Mytilus edulis: one gene and its partners. The protein of the gene in region 1 interacts with the protein of each later gene in a pairwise test. Links are inferred from orthologs where the notes say so. Each region holds a gene or a part of one and is shown in the gene's direction. Other genes may lie near its edges. The genes, in order: general vesicular transport factor p115-like, paired box protein Pax-6-like and RING finger protein nhl-1-like.

Region 1 (7,873 bases):
GAACCCCATATATTCAATTTTTGTTGAAATTAAACAAAGTTTAATTTTGAACCCCGGTTTGGACCAACTTGAAAACTGGGCCCATAATCAAAAATCTAAGTGTTAAGATTCACCATTCAATTTTTGTTAAAATCAAACTAAGTTTAATTTTGGACCCTTATTCCTAAACTGTTGGGACCAAAACTATCAAAATCAATCCCAACCTTCCTTTTGTGGTCATAAACCTTGTGTTAAAATTTCATAGATTTCTATTTACTTATACTAAAGTTAGAGTGCAAAAACCAAGAAAATGCTTATTTGGGTCCCTTTTTTGGCCCTAATTCCTAAACTGTCGGGACCAAAACTCCCAAAATCAATCCCAACCTTCCTTTTGTATTCATAAACCTTTTATTAAAATTTCATAGATTTCTGTTTACTAATACTAAAGTTATTCACCAAGGTGCGAAAACCAAAAAAAATGCTTATTTGGGCCCTTTTTGGCCCCTTATTCCTAAACTGTTGGGACCAAAACTCCCAAAATAAATCCCAACCTTCCTTTTATGGTCATAAACCTTGTGTTTAAATTTCATGGATTTCTATTTACTTTTACTAAAGTTATAGGGTGAAAACCAAATGTCTTCGGACGACGATTTTCCACAAGTATGTCATGTACTTTATTTACCTTTTAAAAAATAAATATCTGTCTTTTCTTCCTAATTCCACTGTACTTGACAATGATTATGGTAGAAAAGAGATAAGATGAAATCTTTCTTCTTTTTGCATATATATTTAACCCATAAAATACAAACATGTATACAAAATTCTTTGAAGCAGGTTATTAACCCTAAGGCCTACTGTCTATTAAAGACCTAAAGAAGATAACACTAATTACCATAATGTTTAAATTTTGATCAAATTCAGTACATCAATAAAACAGTGATCAGATGTCTAACAATAGATAAAGGTAGTTGTAAACACTAAATATATGGATGGTACCTGGGCTTAAACAAACTCTCAATGGAAAATAAACTTTTAAACAAGCACCAACAATTTGTTTTATTTTTGCATAAATCTTTTTTTTCATTGTTTTCGTGGATCAACAAGTGTCCAAGGAAATATAGCAACACAACTGTTGTCCAAATCAAGACATGAAAAGATACCCATACATGTAGGTTTTACAACATAGATATAGTCATGCCATATAATCTAAAGAAGACTTCAAATATCAGCAAATGCACTATGATCGACAACTGCATGCAGGATTGTACCCATTTAAGCTTTAAAGGGGCACTAGCTGTCAAATTCATGTTCACAGATCTTAATCAAATTATCATATTTGATTTATAACAATGTAAAAGATTTATCCAAACTATTAAAAGTGTAAAATAAACAATAAGCAGGGCACAGGCATGAAAATATGTAGCTTCGCTTTGTGTGTATTTTGGTCTAGACACCACCTAATTAACTATTGAGTTGACCTCTGAAGTCATCCGATGACCATATAAGCAATTTAAACATAAATATAGATATAAATAGATTGAGTAAACTTGGATTTTTCTAGGTCTATTTAATTTCATAATAAAAATGAAAAATAAATGTTTCAATCATCGTTTTTACCTGTATAAGAATGATTTTTTGTGGATCGAATCATCCAATCAAATGATTTACCTTTGTTTCACTTTATATGTTGACATTCTTCTTCTTTAAAGAACTTTACACATACAATTCACGTGTTATCCATCTCAAGCAAAGGGGTTATATTGAAGTTCACATGAATACGTATTCAATGAGGTCGAATTATTCACTTGCAAGTGAATAACCCATAATCAATGTTTTTTAGCTTATTTTGACAAAATTGAACCATACTGGCTGCTTAAAATAATATATTAGATTTTTAATAAATCTTGTAGCTAGACTTCCCCTTTAAAAACCTAAACTGAACGAATTTTAATCTTTTAATTTAATTTTTTTTTAAATATTTTGAACAATAACAGTCAGATTTCCAGTGAATATATGCTATGATGAATATGATCATTTATATCCTCATAATTCTCATACAGAAAATTTTAATATTATATTGCATGGGCTTGCTTTTGATCAGAATTAATTTTACAATTCAAGGTACATGTACTTCTATACATGTCTATAGCATTTGTTTATGCACAGTTTTCTTAGAGTGTCATTCCTAAGGCCAAATTAACCCCATTGATGGTCTTTAGTCTGTTGATCACTTGATTTCAGGGTAATTAGTGTAATCACTTCTGATTACCATGATTACACTGTGCAACAGTTCAAATGTTTACTTTATTTTTGCAATTTCCATCAATCGAGACAATTTATAAGCATAAACATGATAAACATGATAAATTAATCAGCTTATTTCTGAAAGCAAGTATTTTATTTCAAATTTGTTGACTGTTGTCAGTTTCAAAAAATGAACAAGTAAGTGAAAATAAACACCTTATGTTGCAATATCCACAAATCATTATAGAACAACATAATCTGATGTTCGGTGGTTTTCGTTTGTTGATGTGGTTCATTAGTCAGTGTTTCTTGTTTCTATATAGAATGGTTTTACGGTTTGAATGGTTTTGTACCAGTCATTTTTGGGGCCTTTATAGCTTGCTGTTCTGTGTGTGCCAAGGCTCCGTCTTGAAGGCCATACTTTGACCTATAATTGTTTAATTGGCTATTATCTACATGTTGTCTGTGCAACACAAAACCATGAAACTTAAAGCCAATGATGGGAAAGTTGCCTTTAACCTGATCAATAAAACAATAACCTGCTATTGTAAATTAACTGAGCAAGGCGTCACAGTTCAAATGACTAGGTTCAAATGTATCTACTTCTATATATTCTGGATTCTCTGGTTTTATCCATCTAGTGTCTATCAACATTTTTGCCAAATATGACCAACATTTCTATTCATAATTTAATAACAAATAGTTTTAAGAGTCATATTTGAAAATCTTATTAATTTTTTTTCACAGTTTTTGAAAGAAAAATATTGCCAATAGTAATTGTATGAAAAACTAATTCCTTCCAAATTTTCAATCGCTTCTTTGAATTTTTTTTTTTTAAGTTTGAGATGTTGTAGATATTGATGTTACTTAGGACTGGAGTGGCTTAAATCAAAGCATAACAGAGTGTTCTTGCAATAAAGCAGATAGATATCTTGCTGTTCCTAACCCAATAGTATTATTTGGTCTAAAAAATTGCCAAAAATATGATATTTGAGCCTTTGCAAATAAAAGTGGACACACACAAATGTCTCACCTGTTGTGTATTTCTAATGAAAGAAAATGCTATCAGACATACATTATATATTTTAAGCTGTAAATAATGAGTAATGTTGCTGCTGCTGATGCCTGTATGAATGTTAAAGCTGCTACCAGTCCTGCTGAAGACAACTCTCCATACTACCAATTGTATAGGTTATTATTTGCTATATATATATATATATGGAGATATGCTGAATAACTGTGGTTAAGAGTGAAATAACTTACTAGTGATATATACTATTATATTAATAATGATAACTAAAGATGGGGATGAACAATGAGAGTATAATTGCTAGATTTTAATACAAGAAGAATATTTAAACACTAGCTTTGGAAGTTTAGTGCTGAAAAGTAACATAGTTTACAATGTGATCAAGTAATAAGTTTTCAAAACATTAAAAAATACTGAAAAATAAAGTTATTATCAACTGTTACTGAATGAAAGGAATTTTCTTGATATCAGATCCACAAGAAATACACCAAATATAGTTGACCTATGTATAGCATACAGTATAAAAAAACTCAAAAACTGAACTTTGACAACTGAACCATGGAAATGAGTTCAAGGTCATGAAGGTCAGATGACACCTGCCAGCTAGACATGTTCACTTAACATGTATAATCATTCCATACACCAAATGTATTAGATCTATTGCATACAGGACACAGTACAAGAAAAACAGACCAAGACACAAAAACTTAACTATAACCACTGAACCATGAAAATGAGGTCAAGGTCAGATACACTGAATATACTACACCTATATGATATGGACTTGACCACCAAAACTTAACCTTGATCCATGAAATGAGGTTTGAGGTCAAGTGAAAACTGTCTGTATGGACTGACAACCTTGCAAGGTACATACATACCAAATATAGTTATCCTATTACTCATAATAAGAGAAAACTTAACATTACAAAAACATTTTTTCAAGTAGTCACTGAATCATGAAAATGAGGTCAAGGACAATAGACATGTGACAGACAGAAACTTCGTATTCTGAGGCATCTATATACAAAGTATGAAGCATCTAGGTCTTTCACCTTCTAAAATATAAAGCTTTTGAGAAGTAAGCTAATGCCGTAGTAGCCGCTGACGGATCACTATCCATGTCTAGCTTTCTGCGACAAAAGTCACAGGTTTCACAAAAACGACAATTTTGGAAATCAAAATGGTCCGAACTTTAAAACCAGTTGACTATTTCCAAAATTTTTGGCACCAATGAATTTCCCTATACTTCATAATTTAGCTGACCTCCCTAGCACAATTAGTAAAATTGGAAATTCAGTAGTTTTATGGCTATGCAGCCTCTAAATTTATAATGCCATTAATAGACAGATATACTTTCTCTGTAAGACTGATTATATATATATTACCTCAATAATACCGTCACACAAATATTATAGCCGGCTTTCAAAAACAGGATGTAAATCTTTCATGCATCATTATTCTGTATAGTGTTGATTTCTAAATTTGTCAACAGTAAAATCAGCACTCTATAGTAGAAAGTGAAAGTAGATAATTCAGTTCGAATTAATTCTTTTTCAGATATTTCAAAGACACTTTAGAGTATCTTTCGATACAAACATTCGTTCAGTGGTTTATTAAATCCTTTATAAACAAAACATACTATTATATTTATTTACTGCGAGATTGCCACGTTTTAATACGCATGCGCACACTCCGGAAGCCACGAATCACAAAATGGATTATTTTCGAAAATATTTAGGTCCTTCACAGGGTGGCGTACAACCCACAGGAGCAGATACTGTTAGTAGAAAATGAATAACATATATCTTAAGCAAATTTAGAAAAAGTCTAATAACGCTATCACCCTGTACTTCAACTGTTTGCAAACGGCTGTTACCGGCTCAACCCCCTAAATAATTTTGTGAAAAAAATATGTTGTTATATCATATTTAAGTATCAATTATATACGTGAGTGTATGGCTTAGTGGTTAGGACTGTTAGAGTTTGCACTGAAGGTTTCGGGTTCAACCCTGACACAGGGAGGAAAAAGGGGGGGAGTGTACCATACACCTTACCTTACCCTTATCGCTATTTCATTTTGGAAATCTGTGATGCTAAATATGGCGTGAACACAACGCTGGAATGTCACTTGTTTCTTATATTGTAGTGTAACTTTGTGACGGGTCATGTTTATACATGGGCTTAAAACAGATCGATAACATACACCTTATCGCTAATCCTGGCTGACCCGGCCGCTTGAATCACTTTTCCATTGTAGCGTCAGATATTTTGTTTTGTGACGTCAAAATTTTACGGGAACCCGTGTGATATTCAGTAATGGCAGACAAATAGCGATAAGGTGTATTATTATAGCATGTAACGTTTTCTTCCTTAATTTACATATTCCTGACACTGACAGTCATTACAACAATCATAACTTTTCCATTTTGACGTTATTTTCTGTTATGACGTCATATTTTTCAGTCAGGGGTACTACTTGTACAAGTTATTTTTATTTACTTATAGAAGTAATATTAATATACTTATACAAGTGAATTTTATTTACTTGTATAGGTAAAAAAAAATATGGCTTAGTTATGTCCCTTAGACATTCCGATTAATTACCTATATATAGGTACAAAAGTTATCCTTTCTTCTTTTCTTAAGTTCTTAGGATTTCTTTGCTCTAATAGAATTTTAAATTGTCTGCCCAGGGAAAAAAATTAACGGTCGTCCAGTCGCCAATGGCGACCAGAAATTGACCTGGGCGATCTTTTTACTCAGTTGTGGTAGCCCAGGTGGCGAATTGAAAGCAAGTTCTTGACTGACCAAAAATCAGCAATTTACCGTGACTCCAAGTACTGGCTACTTCACAGACAAAAATTTAAATTCAAAAAGAAAAATCTTTTTAAAATGTATTGCATCAAAGTCGCGGTCGCGATAAACAAGGATGTCAAATCAGTGTTTACCTGTGACTAAATATAGTTCATGTAAATTCAGGTCACTGATTGGTCGTCTATTGAAAGTCGGAATGTAAGTGTAATTTCATGGACAATGAAAATCCCATTTGTCTGTTATGAGCAATTTTTGAAGGCCTTGCCCAAATACTTAGATCTTTGCGCAATCAGTTTCTTTGTTGAATTAATGAGATGAAACATTGAACACTATTAAAAAAAATTGAGCTAAGCAGGGAAAAATCATCAAAGGCAAACTTGTCGTCGGTAAAATGCAGTTTTTGGCTTATAACTCAAAAACCAAAGCATTTAGAGCAAATCTGATATGGGGTAAAATTAATTATGAGGATAGATCTGTCTGCCCTAAGGAAATTTTGCTGTTTTTGGTTATTATCTTGAATATTATTATAGATAGAGATAAACTGTAAACAGCAATAATGTACAGCAAAGTAAGACCTAAAAATAAGTCAACATGACCAAAATGGTCAATTGACCTCCTAAGGAGTTATTGCCCTTCATAGTCAATTTTTAACAATTTTCATATAATTTGTATATTTTCACTAACATTTTCCACTGAAACTACTGGGCCAAGTTCATTATAGATAGAGATAATTGTAAGCAGCAAGAATGTTTAGTAAAGTAAGATCTACAAACACATCACCATCACCAAAACACAATTTTTTCATGAATCCATCTGTGTCCTTTGTTTAATATGCACATAGACCAAGGTGAACGACACAGGCTCTTTAGAGCCTCTAGTTCATCAATAGACAGGTGTCTTATACAATATTTTAAGTACTAATGCATCCTTAGTCTGTGAAGGCTGTATATCGGTGCTTTGCTTTTGCGCCAAAATAATCTTTCATTTGCGCCAAAAATTGAACTTTCATTTGCGCCAATATTTCAGGTAAATACGCATGATACAGGTTAATACAGATATTGATAAAAAAAAAATCTTTCAAAAACCCTGTTGATAAAGTTCTTGTTAGTCAAAACATATTCCTCAGAAATCAGTCATCATAAAACCATAAATAAACCTTTCAATGCGTTTTTGATATTATACTTTCTGCTGGTGTACCCCATGGTTGCGTTCGTTCAAAGTTTTGATAATTGTTTAGTTGTCAGTTGGTATTCTGTCTTTACAAGTTATTCAACCTTTGCAAGTTTTTTGGGACACCTTAATGACTTGTCTTAATTTTTCAGATCATACATGTATATGATAAGACTTATTTCCTTGGTTTGTCTCTGAATTGACAATGTCCATCTTGACACATCTAAAATGTGAACACTATATAAATTCAAACCTAAGTGACTCTCAGTAATACTGTAAAAACAAATCTTAATCAATTCACGATAGAGCGACGAATGTTCGTTTCCTTTACTACCTGTAAAATGGCGCAAATGAAGTATTTAATGTTTGGCGCAAATGAAAGATTGGATTTTTAAAAAATTGGCGCAAATGCAATGCGCCCCTGTATATATAGATTTAAACTACAAATGTACAAAGCCATTAGTACCCACTTTAAACACAAAACTATATTTCTAAATACACTTACTAATGAATCAAAAATATATTGTTTTTAGGTTGAAAGATTAGTGGACAGAGTTCAATCTTCAACATTACTGGATGATAGACGAGATGCCGTCCGAGCACTTAAAGCAATGTCTAAGGTACAATGTAATA
Region 2 (7,668 bases), on another chromosome or scaffold:
TAGGTCATGCTAATGTTTTGCCTGCTTAATCTGTTAATTCTTTTTATTGTTCTTTGTGTAATGCTTTGTTTTCAGCAAGACAAATATTCTGTCCACTTATAGTGCTTTGTTTTCAGCAAGACAAATATTCTGTCCACTTATAGTGCTTTGTTTTCAGCAAGACAAATATTCTGTCCACTTATAATGCTTTGTTTTCAGCAAGACAAATATTCTGTCCACTTATAGTGCTTTGTTTTCAGCAAGACAAATATTCTGTCCACTTATAATGCTTTGTTTTCAGCAAGACAAATATTCTGTCCACTTATAGTGCTTTGTTTTCAGCAAGACAAATATTCTGTCCACTTATAGTGCTTTGTTTTCAGCAAGACAAATATTCTGTCCACTTATAGTGCTTTGTTTTCAGCAAGACAAATATTCTGTCTACTTATAGTGCTTTGTTTTCAGCAAGACAAATATTCTGTCCACTTATAATGCTTTGTTTTCAGCAAGACAAATATTCTGTCCACTTATAGTGCTTTGTTTTCAGCAAGACAAATATTCTGTCCACTTATAATGCTTTGTTTTCAGCAAGACAAATATTCTGTCCACTTATAGTGCTTTGTTTTCAGCAAGACAAATATTCTGTCCACTTATAGTGCTTTGTTTTCAGCAAGACAAATATTCTGTCCACTTATAGTGCTTTGTTTTCAGCAAGACAAATATTCTGTCCACTTATAGTGCTTTGTTTGCTTATTTGAGTTATTGAACTATTTTTTGTGCTTTTCTACTGTGCAAAACTTTTTACTCTTGCTTTGGTATTTATACCCCATTATTGCATGCTTATACATATGTGTTTAATCTGCTTGATAGAACTATTGTGTTTTATGTATGCATGCATACCATGAACCCTTGCTTCCTCTGTGTAATTGTGTGTGTACATGTGTTTGTATGTGTATGCTTTGTTGGATTGTGCTTTTGTTTTGTCTGTTTCAAAGCTCTATATGGCTTATGATTTTTATTATCTTGCATTTTCTTACTTTAAATAAAGCGTTATGTTTGATGTCTTACATGTAAGGAATGGTAAATATATTTTTTCACGAAATGTTTAACCCTATGTAATAGTAATTATTGAGTATGTAATATCATTTCCAAGTGCATTCTTTAATGGTTTTAAACCTGAGCAGTTATTATTCCGTGATTGTAACATTTATTGCTGGATGATGATAGTATGGAGTATCATGTAAAACCCTTTGACATAATATTAAACTAGTGGCGTATAGTTTATCCGGTACTTCAACATTGGAAATTACCGACTTCTTGGTTTTTCATTGGTAATTGTATTTTTATATAAACTGTTAACAGATTCAGCATAAAACTATATTTTATCTGACTTTACTTTAAGTTGAATTAAAAAAAAATATATAAGACTATTGTAAGGATAAAACCCAAAGAAATAAACATCCCTGCATCATCTGCAAAATATGATATATTCAAAATAAACATCCCTGCATCATCTATATATAAAGTCACACATCTGTAACACAATTACACATGTCACTGCTTTATCTCATATGCTCTTTTTCCATTCAGTTAATTTTCCTCTTATTTTATATCTGGAATAGGTTAATTATTTGGCTTTCAGAGAACGGTAAGAAGTTTGCAATTTGAAAAAGAATAAATTCACAAAAATACTGAAATGCAGGGATGTTTATTTTGAATATATCATATTTTGCATTAGTGGGATAAAGACCCTTCATTGGAACAAAAATTGATTAAATCATGAAATGTCAATTTCTCCTTTTTGCGTCTGAGTTGAATAATGGTGAATGTAGGAACCATAAAGGTCAATAGGGCATGAACAAATCTATTTCATTATGCCCCGCTGGTTCTAAATTTTCTTCCAGTTTCTTCTTTAACATTGTCGTTTAAACATTTTTTCATGTATAAAAGGATGTAATCAGAATTTGTTCTATTCTTTCCCAAAAAGGAAACTTTCGGCCAATATTTTAAAACATTTGATATAATTGGATGGCATACTCATGACCCCAAAGTATATAGTTTGTTCTAACAGCTCCCGAAACATGTAAAATATATACATCAGTTTACAAGCACCTGTTCTTTCTCTTCCGCATAATGAGTTAATTGAGAACTGAAAGAATTAAAATTGATAAGCAAAACAATCTTCTCAAAAACGAATAAAATAAGAGGAAAATTAACTGAATGGAAACAGAGCATATGAGATAAAGCAGTGACATGTGTAATTGTGTTACAGATGTGTGACTTTATATATAGATGATGCAGGGATGTATATAACACACACTTCTTAATATTGTACTTCACAACTTTTTTGTTCATTGGAATAATATTTTTAAAATAAAAATCGTCCAGGAATTAGTGACTTTGGAATAGGTTTATTTTTTTCATTTTCATAGAAAGGTAAGATTTTGGTGACTTTGGAATAGGTTTATTATTTGGCTTTCAGAGAACGGTAAGAAGTTTGCAATTTGAAAAAGAATAAATTCACAAAAATATTGAACTCCGAGGAATATTCAAAACGGAAAGTCCCTATTCAAAAGGCAGAATCAAAAAGCTCAAACACATTAAACCAATGGAAAAAAAACTTTCATATTCCTGACTTAAATGGTCCAGGCATTTTCTTATGTAGAAAATGGTGGCTCAAGCTTCGAATTGGTTTCTTTAAAGACATTTTGATACTGGTAATAAATGCTTATCTTATCGCATCAGTGTATGTAGCAATTGTTCCAAATATCTTGGAATTGAACAAATTTATTATAAAAACTGCCGTCCAATTTAAGTCTTCTGAATGCTTGAATATGAATAATGTTGAACTGTTTCTTTTTCTTCTTTTAATTTAATGTTGGTGTGTTCGTAATTATAAAATAGAAGATGTGTTATGATTGCCAAGGAAATAACTCTTCACAAGAGACCAAATGACACAGAAATTAACAGCAGCTATAGGTCACAATGAGCAAAGCCCATACTACATAGTCAGCTATATAATTCCCCAAAATTACAAATGTAAAACAATTCAAACGAGAAAACTAACGTCCAAGTAAATGCAAGTTTGCAGTAAAATTTCCAAACAGATAATATTCGTGTTTTCTTTAGAATTTTCCTGGTTGAATAGAAGAATATGCACGCTTTTGGTGTTAAAGAAAATAGAAAATGAAGTATATTTATATGTATAAAGTTCTCTAGATTAAAACCTTATGCTGAGGACACATAGGTATCCAAAAAACAATTCTTGTTCTATCTATAATGTATAATATTTAACGTTTAAAAATCAAGGCTAAATTAATTCATTCCATGTTTGTTTCCGATTCTTACTTTCCTCTGACAAACTTGACAATACAAAAAATATAAAAGTTTGATTGTAGAACACTTCATTTCGCTTTTCTATATTTAGAATTTTATTTCATGCTATTGTGCTTTTTAATGATTTAATTATTTTACCTCTAGTTTATTTATTTCTTTTTTATATTTATTTCCTTTGAGAGGTTACACATTCTATGTCTCATTTCTTTTGGGAAAACGGTATAATGACTAGATAAAAGAACAAAAATAAGTTTTTCAATACAGATATGTTAATTAATAAATCATTGTTAAACATTTCAGAACTTATGATGACTTATTAAGCGCGATAAATCGACGAAAATATAAAATGTTATTAATAGTTGAAGAAAATGTTGCGAGAGAATAAATTTTTAAAACAATATATCTATATGTTTGCACTTATTCTTTCTTTATATAAATTACAAGCTTCATATTATGATGTTTTCTATTTACTTTGTCTCACAAAAATATTTTTAAATGCACAAATTACAGCAATATCACACAAAATAATATATCATACAATTCACAAACGTTTTGGACGTGTGAACATATTCAAATAAATATATGCACAATTATCAAATTCAAATGAATTTTAAAACTAGATGATATTTGATGTATTGTTTATAAATATTAAAACATGTACGTCACTGCCAAATTTCCAATTTTAAAATACACATTATTTTGTGTTCATAATTCTTTTCTTTTATTTTATGTTTATCGGAAACTAAAATGAAATTGATGGAAAATTCGTACACATTAATAAATTAGTCTACGTGTTTCAAATTATTTTAATTAAAATAGAAGTTGATAAAAAGAAAAAAATATTAATCTTACAACGAAAACATGCAATTTAATAATAAATAACGATGAAACAAAAGAAAAATACGTCAATTAATAAAGACAACCATCAAAGACTTACAGGTATTTAATGACGAAATTAATTACATTCGATCAGAAAATTATTTAATCCAAAAATCAATTCATCAATTCCAAAAATAATCTTCGTTTTTTGTTTAAAATACATTTAAGAAGTTTAAAAGCAATGGATGTTTATGATTGGGCTACTACAAATTCGATTCTCTCATTATCACGTAGCAAGCCAATCTCAGCATCTTGTATTTTCTCACTAGACCGCCCAATTGGATATAATGTATTTTAATAATTCAATCCGATAGCAATATTATATTTTATAATTTCATCTTTTCATAAATCTTATTTTGATTTAAACACTTCTGATTGCTCAAGCTTAACATAGTTGTAGAAGTCGTAAAATGATTGGTTGAAATTATTCAAGCTCCACCTATTTTTCATGATTTAATAAATATGTGAATTCATGGCTAAAAAGAACTTCTCTACAGAGGTGGCAGTTTTAAATCAGGCGTTATAACGTACCAAAGTAGTGGAAAAAGCAATCGGCCCTGAAATATTCGTTAAAGAATGATTGCAGATTTATAACATTATATAGCAGTAACTTCGCATATACTGTTTCTTTTCGCTCGACAAAAGTAGGAATTTTAACCCAGACATTTTATAACATTTTAAAAGCATATGTAAGCAGTCGCCATTGACAATTACTAGTTATGTTTTGAAAACTAAATGCACGTGTGTTAACTGTCCAGAGGAATTTACCAAACAAGACGTTATCACTGAATCGTGAAAAATCTAATAAGTTATCTTCAGCGGAGGGACACAATTTGTAATTGATGCGTGAATGGGACAACCATTGTGGAAACTAGACAATTAACTACAAAATTTTTCAAAATTTTCAGGTAAGTCAATTGTAATAATTGTTTAAAATTTTGGAAAATAGCATCCTCCCCCTTTCTACTTGGTCATTTTTCATTTAACATTTAGATAACTCATTCTTTTTGTTTTCATCTCCTCTCTGCGTTTCAAAGTTATATCGTGCATATAAAGGATGCATAATTTTTAGTTATTTGTGGGACATTAGGAAATTATTTTTGACAATTATTTATGTTTTTTTTTACAAACATTCCATACTGACCGATGTTGTATTGTTTACGATGATACGACATATATTTTTCTTCTGACTGTGGTCTATGTAAGGAAAAACTAACAATTTAACCAACAGACTGACCAACAGTCCGGATTGAAGATGCTGATTTTGGAAATAGAGAGAAAAATAAAATAATAAACTTTCACGCAAGTTACATACCAACACGTGTATCTAAAACATTTCACATTTTGATTTGAGGTTTTGAAGGATTCTAAGATAAAAAAAATAAACAACAATTATACCATCGTAAACTGGATATTGTATGCAATAAATAATATATTTTACAGATTATATTTTAATCTATATATCCAATTCACCATAGAGTTATGTCACACTAATCTTTAAACAGTCGGTCAAAGATATTTCTCAACATTTTGTTGCATGTTCTCCTACTATTTAACGACAGTTTATGTATGTAATTCGTGAGTACCTAGTTCTTCCTACAGCGACTTAAGTTCTGGAATGGACATCCTTATGTAAACACAATATATAACAAATATAAAATGTAAACTTTATTTTCTGTATCTATTTCTATATTTATTATTTCCTCTCATTGTAGAGTTATGATTGCTGGAGTAATAGCTAGTTAGGTTTTACTTTATAAGTCACAATAATTTAACGGGCCTTCACGGCGCCCAGTGTACTCAATCTTAAATCCGTGTATTGAAAATGTATTAATAATATTTAACCCTTCAGACATTTTTGATAGTATAAAATGGATAAAAATTTTGCTTGTTTTTATTTTATTACATTGTGTGAAATTTACCAGGCATGAAATTGACAGTTGTCATTTTCAAAACACATGATGCTTTTTGAAGATAAACGGATTATCGGCCTGAAGGAAAATATTAAATCTTTATCTGTAATGTATTCGGAAATAACTGGATTAATCATAAGATAATCATATCCATATTTTAGAGAAATATTAACTGGGAGCAGTATTAGTATCCGACGGCTTAGCACACACAGTTTGTAGTTCTTAAATCATGTATCATAGTTAGGGAAACACAAATATGTATACAAATCACAAAAATATTCTATAATGAAATATCTCGATTTTGCTACAAAAATTATATAAATAGAACGCTTCTAAAAAAAAGACTTTATTGTTGAAAAAATAAAAAATCTTTTACTTTGTGAGGAACAATATTCTTTCCTTTATTATTTGCAGATTACAAAAAAAGATTTCTGTTTCAAGTATATTTTTTAACTCGCCTGTAAAATAATGATTATAAATTTATTTTATTTTTATATGTTGAAGCGAATAAAAATGGTAAAATAATTTTATATAAACATCTTTTTCTTAAAAAATATGAAATCAAATGATTTTCATTCATTTCTATAATTCGGTTAAATTTGCTTTTTTTACATTAATTTTTTTTTAAATTAAGTTAAACTAACAATAGCATTTATCTTTAGCTTCAATACTCTTCACAAACATTCAACACTTAAAAATCATTAACAAAACAATATGAAACTCCTCAGTTAAAATTTGAAGTAGAACGTAAAATAACATTTGAATTCGATAGTACCTGTTAAAGATTATCAAGAACACTTGTTCTAAAAATTCGTTTAATACACAATAAAATTACATTTCAAATGCTTATTATTATAATTTTATAAATCTTTTAAATGTTTGATTATATACATAACACCTCTTGAATTTAAAGCTTCTCTTATGTCATTCCTCAATTCGTTTATACATTCCCACTTCATCTAAATCTGAACAGATTAACTGACAAAAGTCTAGTTAATTATTAACTAAATTTAACTGGATTAATAGCTTTTCCTACAGTTAACCGCCAGGTAATATCGCCTTAGATTCTCTGCATTGATTTTAGAGTTAGTAATCCTTTAGTCTTAGAAAACACTATAACGTCCTTCTCCGTGGAATACAAGAATTAATGAATATTTTCTTTAAGATCTGTCTACTTTTCTTAAGTAATATTTAACTCTGTATTGATTGACTTAAATTTTAAAATGTAAAGCGATATCTTGAAGATGAAAACATTTATTTAAGGAATAATTCATTTTAAGTGCTAGCGTAGAACTAGTTATAATTAAGGTTTAAGTAGAAAGCTTTCGACATATTTCAGTTTTTGTATACAATTATTACTTTTTTGTACAGAATAAATATATGTATATAATTTATTTTTTAACATTTGTACATATATAACATCAGTGCTATATTTTTCCATCATCTCAGAAAATATTTTTTTATCTGAGTCACAAAGGCCATCTGCTGTTTTACAAGATGTCCATTTTTAGAAAGACACAAAATAATGGAAAAGTTTCTAATCTAAAACTTCCTAAATTAG
Region 3 (7,744 bases), on another chromosome or scaffold:
TAAATTTTTTTATCAAATCATGTAGATAAACTAATTTCTTATAATTTTAATCTTTTGGACTAAATCAATGAGCTACAAACCGCTGAAATGTAAGAAAATAATTTTGAATAGACCAATCAATTTATACGATGTCCGGTACTGAACATAGTTTACCTGTCAACTGAACAGGTAGATATCACCTGTCCAACAACTAATTAGCCTTGATTAAAATTAGAAAGTATTGCAGTAGGGGTTGTTTTGATAGTAATTAATCATCATGTCACTTTTATGACCGGAAATGTGTAGATGTTAAAGGCAAAAGCTTGGGGCCCCAAAGGTTGGGTCAAAAAGATCGTGACTTATGTTAAAATGACCGAAAAAGCCTTGAAAACTAAAATGTATATGACCGTTTCATGCTTTGCCCAGCCGGACTTTTATCGGACATTAACCAAATGTCCGGAATATATGACCGTTTTGGAAGCTCTGCCCCAATTATTCAATTTTTGATGAAATCAAACAAAGTTCAATTTTGGACCCTTTGGGCCCCTTATTCCTAAACTGTTGGGACCAAAACTCCCAAAATCAAACCCAACCTTCCTTTTATGGTTATAAACCTTGTGTTTAAATTTCATAGATTTCTATTTACTTATACTAAAGTTATGGTGCGAAAACCAAAAATAATGCTTATTTCGACCCCTTTTTGGCCCCTAATTCCTTAACTGTTGTGACCTCAACTCCCAAAATCAATCCCAACCTTCCTTTTGTGGTCATAAACCTTGTTTTTAAATGTCATTGATTTCTATTTACTTATACTAAAGTTATTGTGCCAAAACCAAGAATAATGCTTATTTGGGCCCTTTTTTGGCCCTTAATTCCTAAACTGTTAAAACCAAAACTCCCAAAATCAATCCCAACCTTCCTTTTGTGGTCATAAACCTTTTGTCATAATTTCATAGATTTCTATTCACTTGAACTAAAGTTATAGTGCGAAAACCAAGAAAATGCTTATTTGGGCCCTTTTTGGCCCCTAATTCCTAAAATGTTGGGACCAAAACTCCCAAAATCAATCCCAACCTTCCTTTTGTGGTCATAAACCTTGTGTTAAAATTTCATCGATTTCTATTCACTTTCACTAAAGTTGGAGTGCGAAAACTGAAAGTATTTGGACGACGACGACGCCAACGTGATACTAATATACAACGAAAATTTTTCATTTTTGCGGTCGTATAAAAAATAAGTCCAGATCTTAAATTTTTAACCAGTTATGCCCCTAGGAAATATAATTATAATGGAAATCCCATTGCAATAGCTCTGAAGCTTTTAATTCTCATGAGATATAAATAACACCGTGTATCATCGTACAGCGGATATAGGTACTAACCAAGCGGGCGTGAGTGATTTTGATCTTACACGGTAACGAAAATCTTTGTTTTGTTCACATAATATCAATGTGTACTTCAATCTAAACATAATTGCTATTTTAAGAAATGATTTGGTCGTAGGTTGATGGTTAGAGATCTGTCTCATTATTTTCCCAAAACAAGAGGGATTACTAAAACATTGTAAATGCATGTGCAAATACTTGTCAAAGAAGTTGGCCCTCATCTCATCCGATATAATTCTATATTCATTGCAACTCTTTTTCTGATAGAAGGTCAATGTGTGTGTGTAATAAGTATAGCTGTTTCAATAATTGGCATTGAAATCTTTCATATATATGTTATTTTTCGATATTTTATCCCTAAAAAAGTGTTGTGTACGGTGTTTAGCTGACCACATAAATCCTAATGTACGGTGCATAGTTATGTTGTTGTACACCGTACACAAAAACATTATTTTTATACTCGTTTATTACCCAAAATGTTTCAAGGAATGAGTAATCACAGGTAGGTTTATGATTGGTGACTGTTACTTTTGCCCTGTATTAGGTTTCTTTCAGATAAAACATGTAAATGTCTCAACAACTGTATCGAAATTGAAAGTTGGTGTTGACATTCACAACTATTTCCGCTTGTACAAGTTAATTGTTCTTATTAGAATATCAAATTTGTTTTATGAATAGGAAAAAATCGATGCAAAAATTATTTGGGAGCAGGAATTTCAAATGTTGAGAAATGTACATTGAATATTGATCAAGCAAAACAAAGATTTTCGTTACCGTGTAAGGTCAAAATTGATCATGCCCGCTTGCTTAGTACCTATATCCGGTGTACTGATGATACACGGTGAATAAAAAGGTTTCAGATCAAACATGTCTGCGTATCATCATCCTCTACGCTTGCCGTAGACGCGCTATGACATAAAACTTTTAACGAAAAAATGTCAAAAACACTTTTCTGCGATTTATCCATCTTGTTTACATATAAACCTATATGATCCTAAATGAAAGTCAAAGACCACCCATACTTCTTCGGAAATGATAAGATGCTATTCTTATATCATCACCCGTGTTACATTTGGATAACTCTGTGTGTTTCTGCTACGAACACATGCAGTTATATATACTTTTTGGGGGGATCAAAATGAGTTGAATGCTTAACCCTTTCGCCGATGAGTCCCGGTTTACCGGGATTCACGCTTCAGACAGCTGACGATGAGTCCCGTTTTACCGGGATCGGAATACCTCTTTTATATTTCCCGCTCAAAACAGTGCAAACATGAGTTATCTTTCTTTGATGAATACCCGGATGAAAGTGTAAACATGGCGATTCCGTTTGTTGAAAACCGTGTCAAAATCAGAGGAAATTTACGGAATTTACGAGAATTTGAAATGAGGGAACATTTTTTTTTGAAAGAATATGGAAGAATTGAAGCCAAACTAGTATACTTTTTTGACATAAAATGTCGTTTTATGTACAAAACACTTGGAATGGACATCGTTCAGTGTGAGGAATTTGTACAGCGTCGTTAAATTTTTCAAAATTTTGCCGTTTTGGGCTAAAAAATTACGATTTGGGGTCAAAGAGCAGAATTTTAAGAATTTCACCTCAATAATGCCGAAAATTTGAAAATTTGAATATTTTATGAAGAAAAAATTATCAAAACATGAACAAAACTGTGAACATAGTGTTAGTGAAAGAAATAAATACATAAATAACTACAAACAAGTTTTTATTGACATTTATTATGAAGATCTCCCACTTAAGTTATAGTAGCCAGGGAAGCCATCGTCTCAGAGTAGCTTCAGTCTGGGCAGCAATCGGTGAAAGGGTTAAGCATCTTAGCATAAATGCAAGCTACACCACCGCTCTTCTGTTTGAATAGAGTTCTACAGGTACAGCAAAACTTGTTATGACATATAAACGTGTATGTTGCCTGCTTGGCGCAAAGGAATATCACCAATGTTTCTTATAGTGTTAAGATTTTGATGTAAATTTAAAACTGAAAATTATAAATCAAGGAAAGGAAAATAATACACTGTTATAGCTGTTTAAATTTATTTATATGCAGTTCCTTTTGGTAAATTACGGCAGTAAATATATCCATAACTGTAGAATTCTTAATTATTTAATGAAAAAATATAAGGCCTCTGCAATAAGTTTTTCTCAACTTGCCCAATTGGACAAGTAGATTTCAAAACTTACTTGCCGAAAGTAAAAATGTCAAATTGATATTTGTTTTTATCTTCTTTCCATGATTTTTGTTTATTAAATGTACTTTGATAATCAAATTTGAAGTAGATTTATTTTCTACAGAATGATTTACTTGTCCTGCTGGACAAGATTGATATGGCTTTTACCTTTTTCCATCTGGTACAGACAATCAGACAAGCGCTATGCCGAGCCCTGAATATCATCAAGATAACAGTATAAGAGTTGTTGAATATCAATTAAATGGTTTTTAGTCAGGTGTTTACTGAGTTTGGCCATAAAATGTGATTCATAACAATACAGGAATAAGTCTGCTATTTCAAGGAGCACAAATGGTGCCCACACTACACAGGAATACCTACATGTACAACTTTTTCTCAAAACAAACTTCTGTCAAACCAGTTATTGCATATGAACGAAACGAAAAAGGAGGGCTGAACAAACTGTGGCCAAGACCACCTGTGGATGAACTGGATGTATGGCCAAAACGACTCAAAATGCATTCCAGGGCCATTTCAGACGCCACCCTTTGGCGACTTCGGTCAGGAATTTTATTTTTTTGTATTAAATTTATCAACTCACTACACTCGTCAGTATATATTCTGTTTTCTGCAGTACACCCTCATTAATTAATCTGGTTGTCAACCTGCAAATGCAAATGCCTGATAATTTACAAGCCATATTTCCAGATAATGTTATGTCAGTTGTTAGGGCTGTAGACAACGTGAACGTTTTGGTTTCTATATAAAGGTAAGGCTTTGTATGTTCTATAGCTCTTGCATATTTGTAAATTTTACTATTTTACGCTGATTTGCACATATATTACATGCACAAAATAATGTGTGCCAGCTTACCAAAGAAAGTTTGTACCCTCGCACCTCACGTCTTTGTAAATCAGTGTATTTATGACGCTTTAAACAACAGAAATTTATAATATATCATTAAGCGTTCAATTGATTCAGAAAAAAAATAATAATTTTGCAACACTAAAAATTAACATTTTCAAGAAAAATTTAACTTTTTTATTATTTCTTAAACATGCAAAAAAAAAATAAAAGCATTTTTATTTATTTATTTTATCAAAGAATTTCTTCCAAAAGTCGTAAAATTTATTTACGGTACCGATTGCAACCAATGTAAACAAACAGGATCCATATGGCATGCTATGTGAGGACATTTAACAGTTCACTGAGGAAGATGACAGTTCATTTACAAATAGTAAAATACTGGTAAATGTGTTTTCATAAGTGTTTGTGGAAAATGGATGTATACGTTTCCATATTTCAAAAAGTAAATCTACTAAATAGTATATAAAAATGAAAGATGAAGGGATACTATCACAGCAACTCAATAACACAATCAACCAGATGGCATATTTTAATTAGTCTACTGTCCCACACACTTTCCAACTATGCAAACTGCATACCTTTAATGTTATGAGGTTGATTGCTTCTATACCTAATGAGCTCCTGTAGTAATGCTCTTTATATACTGTCAGGCATCAAAGGTTCATTTTCAGCATCAAATTGGTTAAAATTTAAAATTTTACCTTGCTGTAAGAAAAATATTCTTAACATGATTTGTCATACGTCTCATATGTGTATCCTGACTGTCGTTTTTGAGAGAAAAAAATAACACTACATGTATTTCGTCAAAATTGGTTAATTTATTTATCATCTAAAAAGAAAGTCAACATTTTATCATCAAATTACTTATTACTAGCCTAAATTGCATGACAGTTCATCTCTATAAAATTTAACCACATCTACTTATTTTGGCCTAGATATCTTGACATTTAATCTCTACAAAAATAATCATATCTACTTATTTTGGCCTAGATATCTTGACATTTAATCTCTACAAAAATAATCATATCTACTTATTTTGGCCTAGATATCTTGACATTTACTGTAGTCTCAACAAAAATGAACCACATCAATCTACCTTTTATGACCTAGATACCTTGACATTAAATCTCCATAAAATGAACCACATTTACTTATTATGACCTAGATATTATAACATTTAATCTCCACAAAAAATAACCACATCAACTTATATTTTTGCCCTAGATATCATGACATTTAATTTCTACAAGAATTAATCACATCTACTTAATTTGGCCTAGATATCTTGACATTCAATCTCCACAAAAATGAATCACATCTACTTAATTTGGCCTAGATATCTTGACATTTTATCTCCACAAAAACGAATCACATCTACTTATTTTAACTTAGGTATCTTGACATTTTATTTCAACAAAAATGAACACCATCTACTTATTTTGGCCTAGATATCTTGACATTTAATCTCAACAAAAATAAACATCATCAACTTATTTTGGCCTAGATATCATGACCTTTAGCTCCACAAAAATGAACACCATCAATTTATTTTGGCCTAGATATCATGACTTTTGATCTCTGCAAAATGAATAACATCTACTTATTTTGGCCTAGATATCTTGACATTTTTTTATCTCTACAAAAATGAGCACCATCTACTTATTTTGGCCTAGGTATCTTGACATTTTATTTCAACAAAAATAGACCACATCTTCTTATTTTGGCCTAGATATCTTGACATTTAATCTCTACAAAAATAAACATCATCTACTTATTTTGGCCTAGATATCATGACCTTTAGCTCCACAACAATGAACCACATCTACTTATTTTGGCCTAGATATCTTGACATTTAATCTCAACAAAAATAATCATATCTACTTATTTTGGCCTAGATATCTTGACATTTTATTTCAACAAAAATAAACATCATCAACTTATTTTGGCCTAGATATCATGACATTTTTTTTATCTCTACAAAAATGAACACCATCAATTTATTTTGGCCTAGATATCATGACTTTTGATCTCTGCAAAATGAATAACATCTACTTATTTTGGCCTAGATATCTTGACATTTTTTTATCTCTACAAAAATGAGCACCATCTACTTATTTTGGCCTAGATACCTTGACATTTAATCTCAACAAAAATAAACATCATCAACTTATTTTGGCCTAGACATCATGACATTTAGCTCCACAAAAATGAACACCATCAACTTATTTTGGCCTAGATATCATGACATTTAATCTCCACAAAAACGAATCACATCTACTTATTTTAACCTAGATATCTTGACATTTTATTTCAACAAAAATAGACCACATCTTCTTATTTTGGCCTAGATATCTTGACATTTAATCTCTACAAAAATGAACACCATCTACTTATTTTGGCCTAGATATCATGACATTTAATCTCTACAAAACTTTATCACATCTACTTATTTTGGCCTAGATATCTTGACATTTTTTTTATCTCTACAAAAATGAACACCATCAACTTATTTTGGCCTAGATATCATGACTTTTGATCTCTGCAAAATGAATAACATCTACTTATTTTGGCCTAGATATCTTGACATTTTTTTTATCTCTACAAAAATGAACACCATCAATTTATTTTGGCCTAGATATCATGACTTTTGATCTCTGCAAAATGAACACCATCTACTTATTTTGGCCTAGATATCATGACATTTAATTTCTACAAGAATTAATCACATCTACTTAATTTGGCCTAGATATCTTGACATTTAGTCTCAACAAAAATGAAGCACATCTAATTATTTTGGCCTAGATATCTTGACATTTTATTTCAACAAAAATAGACCACATTTCCTTATTTTGGCCTAGATATCTTGACATTTAATCTCTACAAAAATGAACACCATCAATTTATTTTGGCCTAGATATCATGACTTTTGATCTCTGCAAAATGAATAACATCTACTTATTTTGGCCTAGATATCTTGACATTTTTTTATCTCTACAAAAATGAGCACCATCTACTTATTTTGGCATAGATACCTTGACATTTAATCTCAACAAAAATAAACATCATCAACTTATTTTGGCCTAGATACCTTGACATTTAATCTCAACAAAAATAAACATCATCAACTTATTTTGGCCTAGACATCATGACATTTAGCTCCACAAAAATGAACACCATCAACTTATTTTGGCCTAGATATCATGACATTTAATCTCCACAACAATGAACCACATCTACTTATTTTGGCCTAGATATCATGAAATTTAATCTCCACAAAAACGAATCACATCTACTTATTTTAACCTAGATATCTTGACATTTTATTTC

Evidence for each region.
Region 2: the proteins of general vesicular transport factor p115-like (region 1) and paired box protein Pax-6-like interact in a two-hybrid assay, tested with the Caenorhabditis elegans proteins (2 studies listed by BioGRID). The link is inferred for Mytilus edulis from reciprocal best matches to the Caenorhabditis elegans genes uso-1 and vab-3.
Region 3: the proteins of general vesicular transport factor p115-like (region 1) and RING finger protein nhl-1-like interact in a two-hybrid assay, tested with the Caenorhabditis elegans proteins (2 studies listed by BioGRID). The link is inferred for Mytilus edulis from reciprocal best matches to the Caenorhabditis elegans genes uso-1 and nhl-1.

What each region holds. Positions count from the first base shown.
Region 1 is NC_092352.1:26,332,773-26,340,645, forward strand, and holds the start of general vesicular transport factor p115-like, read left to right. Parts: upstream 1-4,768; 5' UTR 4,769-4,969; coding exon 4,970-5,035; intron 5,036-7,773; coding exon 7,774-7,860; intron 7,861-7,873.
Region 2 is NC_092350.1:1,506,142-1,513,809, reverse strand, and holds the start of paired box protein Pax-6-like, read left to right. Parts: upstream 1-4,652; 5' UTR 4,653-5,102; intron 5,103-7,668.
Region 3 is NC_092345.1:98,902,713-98,910,456, forward strand, and holds the start of RING finger protein nhl-1-like, read left to right. Parts: upstream 1-4,692; 5' UTR 4,693-4,798; intron 4,799-7,744.